Nothobranchius furzeri: one gene and its partners. The protein of the gene in region 1 interacts with the protein of each later gene in a pairwise test. Links are inferred from orthologs where the notes say so. Each region holds a gene or a part of one and is shown in the gene's direction. Other genes may lie near its edges.

The links. The genes of interacting proteins can lie anywhere in the genome.
Region 2: the proteins of tpp2 (region 1) and polb interact in binary tests that used the Homo sapiens proteins (3 or more experiments, as listed by UniProt). The two-hybrid records come from large-scale screens. The link is inferred for Nothobranchius furzeri from reciprocal best matches to the Homo sapiens genes TPP2 and POLB.
Region 3: the proteins of tpp2 (region 1) and ppp1r16a interact in binary tests that used the Homo sapiens proteins (3 or more experiments, as listed by UniProt). The two-hybrid records come from large-scale screens. The link is inferred for Nothobranchius furzeri from reciprocal best matches to the Homo sapiens genes TPP2 and PPP1R16A.

Annotation. Positions count from the first base shown.
Region 1 is NC_091749.1:36,628,280-36,633,081, reverse strand, and holds the start of tpp2 (tripeptidyl-peptidase 2), read left to right. Parts: upstream 1-1,731; 5' UTR 1,732-1,838; coding exon 1,839-2,003; intron 2,004-2,994; coding exon 2,995-3,123; intron 3,124-3,258; coding exon 3,259-3,354; intron 3,355-3,588; coding exon 3,589-3,693; intron 3,694-3,775; coding exon 3,776-3,900; intron 3,901-3,996; coding exon 3,997-4,160; intron 4,161-4,252; coding exon 4,253-4,407; intron 4,408-4,490; coding exon 4,491-4,567; intron 4,568-4,644; coding exon 4,645-4,772; intron 4,773-4,802. UniProt on the Homo sapiens protein: Cytosolic tripeptidyl-peptidase that releases N-terminal tripeptides from polypeptides and is a component of the proteolytic cascade acting downstream of the 26S proteasome in the ubiquitin-proteasome pathway.
Region 2 is NC_091757.1:55,610,015-55,614,160, reverse strand, and holds the end of polb (DNA polymerase beta), read left to right. Parts: intron 1-336; coding exon 337-403; intron 404-483; coding exon 484-603; intron 604-710; coding exon 711-769; intron 770-870; coding exon 871-920; intron 921-1,082; coding exon 1,083-1,134; intron 1,135-1,259; coding exon 1,260-1,314; intron 1,315-1,384; coding exon 1,385-1,457; intron 1,458-1,534; coding exon 1,535-1,605; intron 1,606-1,688; coding exon 1,689-1,775; intron 1,776-1,880; coding exon 1,881-1,948; intron 1,949-2,072; coding exon 2,073-2,212; intron 2,213-3,150; coding exon 3,151-3,245; 3' UTR 3,246-3,948; downstream 3,949-4,146.
Region 3 is NC_091747.1:54,999,967-55,003,453, forward strand, and holds part of ppp1r16a (protein phosphatase 1 regulatory subunit 16A), read left to right. Parts: intron 1-1,700; coding exon 1,701-1,825; intron 1,826-2,001; coding exon 2,002-2,127; intron 2,128-2,199; coding exon 2,200-2,275; intron 2,276-2,346; coding exon 2,347-2,476; intron 2,477-2,547; coding exon 2,548-2,710; intron 2,711-2,783; coding exon 2,784-3,317; 3' UTR 3,318-3,487. UniProt on the Homo sapiens protein: Inhibits protein phosphatase 1 activity toward phosphorylase, myosin light chain and myosin substrates.

The DNA of each region.
Region 1 (4,802 bases):
CTGGCAAGCCAGACTAAATAAATGTATTATTTAGTCTGGCCACACTCCATTGACAGCTCTCAGTTGTGGGGCAGGTTCTACCGTTGTCTTTCAAATGATCTCTGCATTCTACTGGACAATGAATGCGGCATACTCTTGTTTCACTCTGTTGCATCATCCCACCCACCAGGCATATAGAGTGCCCTGATTGGCCCACAAAGCGAATAAAGCTCTGTGATTTGTTCACTAAGCAGATAGAGCACTATGATTGGCCCACCATTATGGACTAATCACAGCTCTTTATGTGTTTGAAACCCCTCTAGAGAGCTGTGATTGGCTAGCCAGAGTCCTGGTAGGAGCTGCTGAGGTTCCAATGGAGCATGCCTAGACCAAACTTTGCAAAGCAAGAATTTGGTCTAGTTCACTAGGCTAGAGAGCTCCCTGAGTGTAGTGTCAAATAAAGCAGTCAAAGGCTCTGGCAAGCCAGTTTGTTCCTCTGTATCCGTGTCTGATGAACCTGTATCTGTGCCACTGTTGTCCATGCTTGTCAGGACTGCAGCTTCTGGCTCCACTGCCTTTAGTTCCAGGATGTCATCATCTGTCAAGGCTAGGGAAAGGGTAATAAGACATAATTAGGATGCAGTTTTCAGTTTTAATAAATTTTATGTTTCTATCTTTTCCTTTATCTAAAGACACAGAATAAATTATTACAAATTAATTAAGAAATAATACATTCAACGTGCAACCACAAACCAGAACTTAGATTACACTTGTCATTCGTTACATGCCTCTTAGTGTGACACTGCTCCGCTGCTGGGAGCTGTCGGCCTAGCTTCTTTGATTTGTGGAAATTGATCTTCTTCAGTGGAGCTGGTTCTACATTTTTCCTGCTCAGATCTTTCCATGCACATGCCTGAGATGTAACTGCAGACTTTTCTTTCTGTTTTTCCCATCCAAACACAAAGCTCAACTTTGAATAAAAATTACTGCAGCCATGCAGCAGCATGACCCAAGTCTGGAACATCAAAATGACAGAATTAAACATATTTATACTTTATTTCATGCTTTAAATTGACATTTCATTCTAATTCATCCGTATTTTCCCACAGCATATTAGTATAAACTGTATTTCTCTAAAATGAAGGAGTGGATAACTGTCTCAAGTTCAGAGCGAGACAGAATGGGACTCAGCTTAGCAATGTTCCTGAGATGGAAGAAGGATGAGCAAACAAGAGAACTGACATAAGAATCCAGGGTGAAAGCTGGGTCAAAGGTCACACCAAGATTCCTGACAGAAGGTACAGCATAAGAAACATTCATTCAAACGCTGATGAATACATGAATGTTTTCAATTTTAATTTAAAAGTTACTATCGTTGGGGCACATTTGAGGTCGTAAGGAAACTGATTCCATCTGTGCAGCAAAGTAGCTAAAAGCAGCTTGGATCTCAGAGCCCTGCTGAGCACATATACAGGAATGAGATCCATGAGATGTATTTTGGCCTCATGCCACGGAGTGATTTATAAACTAGTAGAAGCACTTTGAAACAGATTCTGTAGTAACTGGTGTAGAGACTTATGAACAGTATTGGTGTTACATTTGTTAGCTGATCAACAAAAAGTAAAAACGGCATTATTTACTACTCGATCCCATTTGGGCTGTGTACAGTGTGAAAATGTTCAGTCTGACTTTTAACCACCAACAACAGCTCAACACTAATAGTAGGAGTAGCTGAAACTGCTTCCAGGAGCTGCACCTTTAACCAGCTCTCCTCCCCGTCTCACCCACCGTGTTGCTCTCCGGCGGCTCTTCCCATCTCGCTGCTTTTCTTTTCATTGTCGCTCTCCGTTTTATTAATCATGGCTGCTCATTCTACCGAAGAGCCATTTCCTTTTCACGGGCTTCTCCCCAAGAAAGAAACCGGAGCTGCCTCTTACCTCACCCGGTTCCCTGAGTACGATGGAAGAGGGGTGCTCATCGCCATCCTCGACACCGGCGTGGATCCAGGGGCCCCCGGCATGCAGGTAAATCTGACCGGATACCTCGTGTTATTTACGGCCGAGCTTCTGGAAGCTAGGGAAGCTAAAGGCCGACGGTTACCCGTAGGCAGCAGCTAGCCAGTTAGCCACTCGTGAAACATAAACCTGTTACTACAACAAGTGTCCCAAAACACCTAATGACAACTTAAATACGACAAAGTAGACGTTAGGAAATGTTTTGTTCTGCCATGAAACAGTCAACCAACTGGACTGTAAAACATTTAACTTTTAATTATGAACATGTATGCTAACGTGAAAGCTAGCTGAAGTTGACCATTGACTTCACTGTGTTTACATTTGTCACTTGGTTAGAGTTCCATACAAGTACTTTTAGTTGCTTAAACTGGCAAAATCATCTCCAGTGCGATGCATCTGTCTTATTAAACGGTATTATAATTTCAACGATCAAGTTAGACTGAATTAAACTAAGCCAAGGTGTTATCAGACACCGGTAGGGTACAAATAAAACAACATTAGCCTACCAACTGTGAATGAAACAGGGTGTTGGGTGACAACAAGATACTCGATTGTTAGCTTAATAATAACTCTAACAGCTTAAAGTCTGTTATGAGTGGAAAAACGAATGAATGGACCTGAAAGGAAATGGAGAAAAACAGATCAGTTGAGTAATTATGTCAGGGTAGTCATCACAAGCCACTGGCTAAAGCTAGACCTGCGTTTGTTTATCTTGTGCTGTTATGTTCTAAAAATATGCAAGATCCGAGGTATTCCCACACATGGAGCTATCTTTGAAACGACCTACATTTATCTCTTGGCATTGTGACACAAGTCTAAAAGAAGGTTACAACCCACAAATGAGAATATCCGAAGATTTATGGAACATTTAGGATGAAGTCATTCAGGGAGCTATGTGGTAATTGTATTATATTATATTATATTATATTATGTTATATTATGTTATATTATATTATAAGTTGCAGAGCTCACACATTTGCTTTTATCGCCTCTCCTTTAGGTCACAACTGAGGGGAAACCAAAGATTGTGGACATCATAGACACAACAGGCAGCGGTGATGTGACCATGACTACAGTGGTAGAACCGAACGATGGGACAATCATTGGCCTCTCTGGTAGAACACTTAAGGTTGGCATTTCTTTTGATTGTTATGAAATAAGCAAAGAGATTCTGTCTCTGTTAAGAGCTATTGCCCTACATCTCAAGTCTTTATTTTCCCCAAGTGATCTTGTGTGTCATACTGTGTCTTTTTATGTCTTTCAGATCCCTCCTGCCTGGGTCAATCCATCAGGGAAGTATCGCATTGGAGTTAAAAATGGCTTTGAGTTCTTCCCTAAGGCTCTTAAAGAAAGGATACAGGTAGGAATATATGACATCCTGACTGTTCTAGTTCTGTCATAGTCTTAATTTCTTTAGTAGATTTATTTTTTAGGATTATGGGTGATGAGTGAGGAAACAGGCTATACTCTCAGAAATGTTTGTGTTTAGTGATTAACTTAAATGAATAATAATGAATGAAAAATGGCAATACTTTACACTTGCTTTCCATAATTTGTGGACTTTGTTGCAATATTTTGTGCTTTTGCTTGTTAGAAAGAGCAAAAGGAGAAGATTTGGGATCCACAGCACAGAGCAGCCCTCGCTGAAGTCTGCCGGAAGACAGAAGAGTTTGACCTTGCTCACCCGACGCCTTCACAGGTCAAACCCACAGGCTCAGGTTCTCGGTGTGTACCAGAGGATTGTTTTCTGTGCTGATTACCTCCTTTGTTCTGCCTTCCAGAATGAAAAGTTGCAGAAGGAAGAGTTTCAGAATCAGTCAGAGCTGCTGGCATCGCTGGAAAAGAAGTACAGTGACCCTGGTCCTGTGTATGACTGCATACTTTGGCATGATGGTGTCACGTGGAAGTAAGCCACCCTCGTCTGTAAAACCCATCTTAGATTAGATTTACTGTGCTTATCCTCTTTATTTTCTACTGTTGCTTATCATTATTACTTTTTCAGGGCTGTAGTCGACACATCTGAGTGTGGAGAGCTAGCCCAGTGTACCGTGCTGAGCTCATACAGAGAAAAACAAGAGTATGCTACTTTGGGAAAAGCTGAGATGCTTAACTACTCTGTTAATGTCTACGATGAGGGGAATATGCTCTGCATTGTTACCAGTGGAGGTAAATTGTTTTGGGACAACAGCAGCTCACTGTTGAAATTTGCATTGTAAAACCTTGAATCTCCATTGAAACGTGTTGATGTGCTTTTCAAGGGGCTCATGGAACACATGTGGCGAGCATTGCAGCAGGGTACTTCCCAGAGGAACCAGAACGTAATGGCGTGGCTCCTGGTGCCCAAATTCTGGCATTGAAAATTGGTGACACTCGCCTCAGCACCATGGAAACGGGCACCGGGCTCATCCGCGCGGTATAACTCCATAGAAAAACCCAGCTCAGTTGGAGGTTTTATTTTGTACATGTTTATTCTTTGTGTCTTTCTGCTCCTGACAGATGATTGAAGTAATCAACTACAAGTGTGACCTGGTGAACTACAGCTACGGGGAAGCCACTCACTGGCCTAATTCAGGGTGAGTCCGGGGCTTTGGGTTGTTAGATTGGTTAGCGTAGCTGTTGCTGACTGTCTTTGGTGATGTGTTCCTTTCAGGAGGATTTGTGAGGTCATTACTGAGGCTGTGCAGAAGCACAATGTGATTTTTGTGTCAAGTGCAGGAAACAACGGCCCCTGCCTCTCCACCGTCGGCTGCCCGGGAGGAACCACCAGCAGTGTCATAGGTGCACACTCTTAACACTCTTTTCTATAAT
Region 2 (4,146 bases), on another chromosome or scaffold:
TAAGCGGAGGAAGACGACAACTAATATTAACAATAATTTGTAAGATTTATTTCTTTTAACCCTTTAGAACCCAACCATAATGAATTAGAAAACCGATTTGAATAAATACATCAGAATGTAAAAAATTATTTAATAAAATAAAGAAGTAGAATAATTTTCAATATATGTATGGATAGAATGTCAGTTAGGTTTTCAAACTTGAATAATTGACTCAAGAAGCAATTCTGCAGGTGTTTGAAATCAGTTGTGTCACCACGGGTCCTTAAGGGTTAACATTACTTCAGTTTTGGTGTGTTTTTAAAACATCACATATGATTCCTTTTGTACGGCGAATAGGAAAGCAGCTTCCACCATTGCCAAGTACCCCAACAAGATTAAGAGTGGAGAAGAGGCCAAGAAACTGGTTGGTGATTTTTAGTTTTGTACACTTGCTGCATTTGTTAAGAAGTCACCGTTGTTTAATGTATTAACATACATGAAAAGTTGAAGAAAATCACTAATTTTCTTCAACTTTTCACAATTTTACAGGATGGAGTTGGAGCCAAAATAGCAGAAAAGATTGATGAGTTTCTTCAAACTGGCAAGTTAAGGAAACTTGAAAAGGTAAGTTTGGATATTTGCATAATGGATATAAGAGCAAACAACCAAATGTGTTTGGATTCAAACGCATCACACTGACTGATGTTTGCTACTTTAATATTTTCTACCAGATCCGAAACGATGACACCAGCTCTTCCATCAATTTCCTTACCAGAGTAACTGGAATTGGGTATTGTATTGTTATTGTGACTATTATTACAGTTAAAAAGTGTCGGGGGATGTTTACAATTAAATACACAATCACCACATCACTTGGTTTTCTGTCCACAGCCCGGCTGCCGCAAGGAAGTTCTTCGAGGAAGGGGTTAAGACTTTAGATGGTTTGTGAAACAAATTCCCCTAAAACAGTTTCTTGTTTAATTTCATTTCACATCCAATGACTCTGAGACTCTGATCTCCATTGTTTCCCATGAAGTTGTTGTGTACAAATTTGGTTTTATTTATATATTGATTCTCATGATACTCATGGTTTTTATTTTCAGATTTGAAAAAGGTAGAGCACAAGCTAAATCATCATCAAAAGATTGGGCTCAAGTAAGCTCAGCCAAAATACGCTCATCCCCCAGCACCACCACTTTCCTTCATTTTCTGTTATTATTTGATGGTTTTAAAAGTATTTTTAACATAATAAATGTGCTGGTGTTTTCTTTGGTACTTAGGTACTTTGAAGAATTTGAAAAAAGAATCCCACGAGCTGAAATGGAGAAGATGGAGGTGATTTTGAATATTTCTACTAAGGCTTTTATGCCTAGTTCTCTTACACTGATCCTGTGTTTTTGTTTAGACTCTTATTCTTGGAGAGTTGACAGAAATCGATACAGAATACATCGGAACAATTTGTGGAAGCTACAGGAGAGGTAACCCAAGTAGAAAATAATTAGTTTTTAATTTAAGGTTTTAGTTGAGCTTTTTAATTAAGGTGAATAATTTCCAGGTGCAGCATCGAGTGGTGATATTGATATTTTATTGACCCACCCAAAGTACACTTCTCAAACCGAGAAGCAGGTCAGACCACCGTTTATTCTGTGGCTCATTGTTTTCTAAAGTAAATGCAGCTTTCTCTCATTTAAGCGTTTCTCATTTTCCAGCCCAAACTCCTTCATGCTGTGGTTGAGCATTTGGAGTCTGTCGGCTTCGTCACCGACACTTTGTCCAAAGGAGACACCAAGTTCATGGTGAGGCCTGTTTTGTTCTCAGCTGAGGAAACACACCAACCCTCCGTTGTACATGACCCTTTTCTTAATGTCCTGGATCTAGTGGTTTTTTCCCCTTTTCTCTAGGGCGTCTGTCAGCTGCAGCCTAGTGATGATGATGAGGAAGAATATCTTCACAGGCGTATTGATATAAGGTTAATATGGAAGTCTTACAGATTTTAATACATTAGGTTGCTTCAAAATAACGATTGAGTAATTCTGTCTTTATTCAAATAGTTTTTTTCTTGCTAGTTATTGATTTTCATTTCATTTCAAAAGGTTGATTCCCAAGGACCAATACTACTGTGGAGTTCTGTATTTTACTGGAAGTGACATCTTTAACAAAAATATGAGGACTCATGCCCTGGAGAAGGGCTTCACTCTTAATGAGTACACCATAAGACCACTTGGTGTCACTGGTGAGTCGAACAAAGCTAGATACACTCAGAACTTTGTTCAAGTTCTCAATAACCAGACATCATATAGACAGACACCCTGTGGACTTGTGCTGCCGTGGCAGGCTGCCATCTTGGATGGGTCTCCATTCACCCCCAGTGCATTTATTTCTACTGTTTAATGTATTTACGCAAATAAAAATACTTTTATTATGCTTTTTCACAAAGTCAGACATATGGTATGGCATGATAGTTAAATATCTTTTTTGCACATTATAAAAACTATACAATAATTTAACTATACACTTAATATAAATATAAATACACACTACAGTACTGGGTGACAGAAACAGACAGGCAAATTGATGATATTTCAGTGCAGCTTATTTATTGTGCAAGTTTGAGTTAATTATGGTGATAGCTTTAGGAAAGAAGCTATCCCTGATTCCATTTGTTCTGGCCTGTATGGATCCGAAGCACCTGCCAGAGGACAGTAGGTTGAAAAGATGGTAGTTTTTAGCTGACCAGGAGAGGTCTGCAGAGATATGGATGCCAATACACTTCGAAGACTCCATTTGGTCCACAGATTGTCCATTGATGTGCAGGGGGGCAGGGGTCATTCTGTTCCGCCTGAGTTCCTTGGCCTTCCCAACGTTATGTTCCAGGTTGTTTAAAAATAATTACATAAAATAAACATAAAACATCTCAAATGTAAAATCCCAAAAGATAGGCTAGAAAAGTCCCACGTGATCTGTTTTCAATAGTGCGTTGGTTGATGCAACCATAAGCTGTACAAAATAAAGGCGTAGTTGCTCACTCTTCATTGACTCTTGGGTTTAGAGAATGGGGAACCCATCCAATGTGGTGGTGACACCGTTACACTCTCCAACGCCCAATGAGGTGTCTGTCTTTGTCTACATTATTTACAGCAGTTCATTCTTGTATCTTTTAATCTGTTGTAGGAGTGGCTGGGGAGCCTCTGCTGGTGGATAGTGAGAAAGACATCTTTGACTACATCCAGTACAAATACAGAGAGCCGAAGGATCGCAGCGAGTAAAACAATGCTACAGCTGTCCTGCAAACAAGATTTTACTAGAAACAAGTGTTATGCTTTTGCCATACCTTCATGACGCTGAGAAGAAAGTAACTGTGAAAATGTTTTTAATGATTTGTGTTGAAATATTCCTACCTAAATTGAAATGGTCATCACTCTTGTGAAAAAAACGCTGTATTTATATGTTGACTTTACACACAAACATCCTTGTGAACATAACTTCAACTTGTTTTTTATCATGTAAACAATAATTTATTTGACCTTATTTTTATTAGTTTTTATTGTTACAAAAAAACAAAATGTCTAGATAAGTCATTTTTTAACTGGAATGACCTATTGCATGTAATGTATGTGCTGAGACTCGTGTTTTTCTTGACGATGGTGCTCTTGAATACAGCTTACTTGTACTTTTATTTCTTATTTGGCTAAGTAGACAAAGGGGAAAGTGGTAGTAGACGTTATCATGCCAATATTGTGCTTGCTTATCTGTTTGGGGGAAAAATACATGTTCGAATGGGACATAATAGCATTTTGAGTGATGTTTTCAAAAGTAAAATAAGGTGTAAGACTTGAATACAAGATTTGCATTAACTATTTTAGTTTGGGTTTTGAATACTTGCATGAGGGGGAATTATGAAATTGATTCAACTGTTAACTGAGTGTGAATGAAATAAAGGAAAGTGATGGATTTCTATTAGCCAGCCAACAGCAGCAAACATACTTTAAAATAGTGTTTCTTAACCTTCATGGCAGTTTACACTGAGATGCTAGAAAATAAACTTTTAGGCAAGGCTGCTTTATTCATAGAGCACGTCATACAAGCTACTCAGAGGCAGATGAATACATGAAATGTTTCCATTTTGATTGAAAAGTCACAAGAGTTTGGGCACTTTGAGGTCATAAA
Region 3 (3,487 bases), on another chromosome or scaffold:
ACAATTATGACTCTTCAGCAAATAAAACCACAGTGTTGTTTTTAATAGAGGTTCCTACATAAATGACTTGCCTGTTAACATTAGTGGTGGTTTGCTGGTCCTTCCTGCAGGACAGAGCACCACTGACCTCCTCCACACACATCTTCCTCACGCTCATCCTCCAGACCCACAACTTCACCAGCACAGAGGCAGATGTGCAGCACAGTGCATGCTGACCTGTAATAGATTAAAAAGAGGTTTTTATAGAAAAATGTAAAACAAACATAACCTGCAGTACACTGGTTCTGTTCAGTTTAAAGAAAAGCAGCAGGGAATAGTTAAATAAAAACTACAGAGAATTTACATTTTTAAGACAGATCTAATCATTATTAGGCTTAACTTGAATAAACAAATGCTTATTGAAAACACTTCAATGCTATTTTATTAAAACGCCTGATTTTTAAAGCATTTTACCCCCATTTGATGCAAAATAAGAAGTTCTAAGGTCCAATTAACATTAGAAAATATCCTACTGCATTCAACATTTATAATGCATTTGGTTTATATTAATTCCCTACATGATAATACTCTGTAGTAACGTGTTGTGTATGTTTAACAAGTTCGTTCTGTAGCTTAAAACATACATGAAACCATCTAAAGTTAACATGTAAGTCCTGAAAGCTTCTAGAATAAACAAAGTTACTTTACCTGAAAACGGTTGTAAACAAACGCTGCTGATGGACGTGAAGCTGCTCTAGCTCCTTAATATTCCTGCTCAATTTTCGCTAGCTTTAGGATTTTTCCTTTGCGTGTAGCTGCCGCCACGGCTGTGACGGGACCTACGGGCAGGTGCGCAGATAGGTTGGGTGACGGGGGGATCTGTCCCCCCCAGATTCAGATTGACTAATCCATCCCCTCCACTTATAAGGCAAGAAAGAAAACAAAATCGGGGGTTAATAGCATCAAGTTGGTACAGCTTCTTAAAGGGACACGAATGTTGCCAACCTACACACATCTGTCAAATTTATTGAAATGGGAACAATTATCTAATGTTTAATTTTTGTTAATGTTTAAATAAAACATGTTTTGCATAAAGCATGAGGTTTTGGTTAGTAATCGATTGGGAGAATAACAAATGACTGATTGTGATGGTGTTGCCAGCGTTCTATTGCACAGTGGCTTCAAACACGTATATAATAGTGTTAGTTTTTTCGTAAACCATTAGATGAAATGACACAAACTGACTTGAGCTCTAGTTAAGGCTCCTGCAATTGTTTGTGTACATTTGCGTTTGTGTGTGTGTGTGTATGTGTTTGGGGGAGGGTACATTGGAACTTTGTCCCCCCCCTGTTTGAAAATCCTATCTGCGCCCTTGCCTACGGGCCACCGTAGAGGTGAAGGCTAGACTGTCCGAATTCAGAGCCTCTGGGTTCCGGTCTTAGCGGCAGGGGCGGATTTAGGATTGAAGAAGATCCGGGGCTTAACACACACGCACGCACGCACACACACATAACACACACTAGTCTTTTCATAAAACATTCGGGGCTTGAGCCCAAGTAGCCGGGCCTAATGCCGCCCCTGCTTAGCGGTCTAGCAAGGACCGGCGAGAACCCATACTCATTAGCATCCTGCCCATGGATTCAGACACACCCAGGGTCTTCGTTTAAACAGCAGGAGGTGACTTGCATTGATTTATTTTTTCTTTTTGTCCCCGTGGGCAGGAATAACTCAGGACCGGATAGATGAGTGCAGGGGAGCTAAAGAAAGGACCATGCTTGCTGACATTCAGGCTCTGATTCACAGTGGAGCAGATTTAAACACACAAGACAACAACGGAGCAACGCTGGTGAGACACAAGGACACTTCTGCTCTGTGAGACGTCCTTTCTTAGAGTTTGAGTCAGCTAGAAGATACAAAGCATTTTATGTTTCTGATGGAAACAGTGACAGAAGATTCATCAATATTTGATGAGTTGGGTTACACCTTATAAAACATGTTGTGTTCTGGTTGATCTCTTCTCAGCTCCATATTGCCTCTGCCAATGGCTACATGTCAGTGGCAGAGATGCTAGTGGACAGCAGGGTCAATATGGAGCTAAAAGACTCTGATGGGTGGACACCGCTACATGCTGCCGCCTGCTGGGGACAGGTCGGTACTGCAGTTGAAGCCAACGCTTTATAAAACTTCATTCTGAGTAATGTTTGTGTTTTTGTTTGACAGATCCAAGTAGTGGAGCTGCTGGTGGCCCATGGGGCTGATCTAAATGCAAAGTCTGTCTTAGATGAGACACCTCTAGGTGAGAAGAACCCAACTCGCTCCATAAAGTAGCATTTAGTACTTGTCTGACCTGTCCTGGTGTTTTAACAGACGTGTGTATGGACGAAGCGGTCCGAGCCAAAATGATGGACCTGAAGAGCAAACACGACGCCATCATGAAGAGTCAGGACAGGCAGAAGGGCACGCTGCAGAGACGAGCATCCAGCACCGGAAGCAGAGGGTGAGAGTCAGATATTCCCGCTGGAGTTGAGACATTTTAACTCCCTCTCTGTGTCTCGTTTGCTACTACAGTAAAGTGGTGCGTCGCGTCAGTGTGAACGAACGCTCCAGTCTGTATCGGAGGGAGCATCACAAAGAGGCGATCGTGTGGCAGGAGCGCGGCCGGCAGCCTGAAACTCATGACGACGATGAAGACAGACAAACCGACAAAGAGCTGCACCAGCACGCTGTTTTGGTGAATTTAAATGTCTCCTTATCACTTTTATCACACCAAGAGCGACAAAATTCACCCAGATGTTCTGTTTCAGGCTGCTGGTGCTGCAGCAACGACGCGCCTAGAGGAGCTGGAGGCAGCTGACAGGAAGATTGCATCAAGTGTGGCAAATGGGGAGACCTCTGCTTCTCTAGCGTCTTCTGTTCCTGGAGAGCAGTGGAGCGGGGGAGGCTACATGGAGCGCAGCGCCTCCTACCAGCTCAACCCTGCGTCTGGATCTGGACTTTCAGAGGGGGAGTCTGCGGACAGTATGAATCGGGAGAAATCGCACCAAACGCTGGCCGACCTGAAACGCCAGCGGGCAGCTGCTAAGCTCAACAAGTATCCAGCACCTCCACCTCCTCTGCCACCTCCTCTAGAGGAGGAGGAACCTTCTACTGCAGCAGTAGTCCAGACCACCCCCTCTCAGACTCAATCAGAAATCCAAATGAGCCCTCCAGCAGAGCAAGCCGCCTCCCCCAGCCAGGTGTACTTCACCCCGGCCAGCGGAGATCCTCCGTTACTGAAGCTCCGAGCCCCGGAGGAGGAGCAGACCAACAACAAGGAGCCCTGCTGTGGCCTCATGTAAACACACTCCAGTCACACCTGTTCAGAAACAAGACTTCCTAATGGTCTCATGACATTTGCTACATCATCGTGTGCCTTTCAACATGTGACACATAATGATGGGATTAATACTGTTGACTTGGCCAAACATCCTGGATCTGTGGATTATCATGACTTCTGTTTATTCTCCTC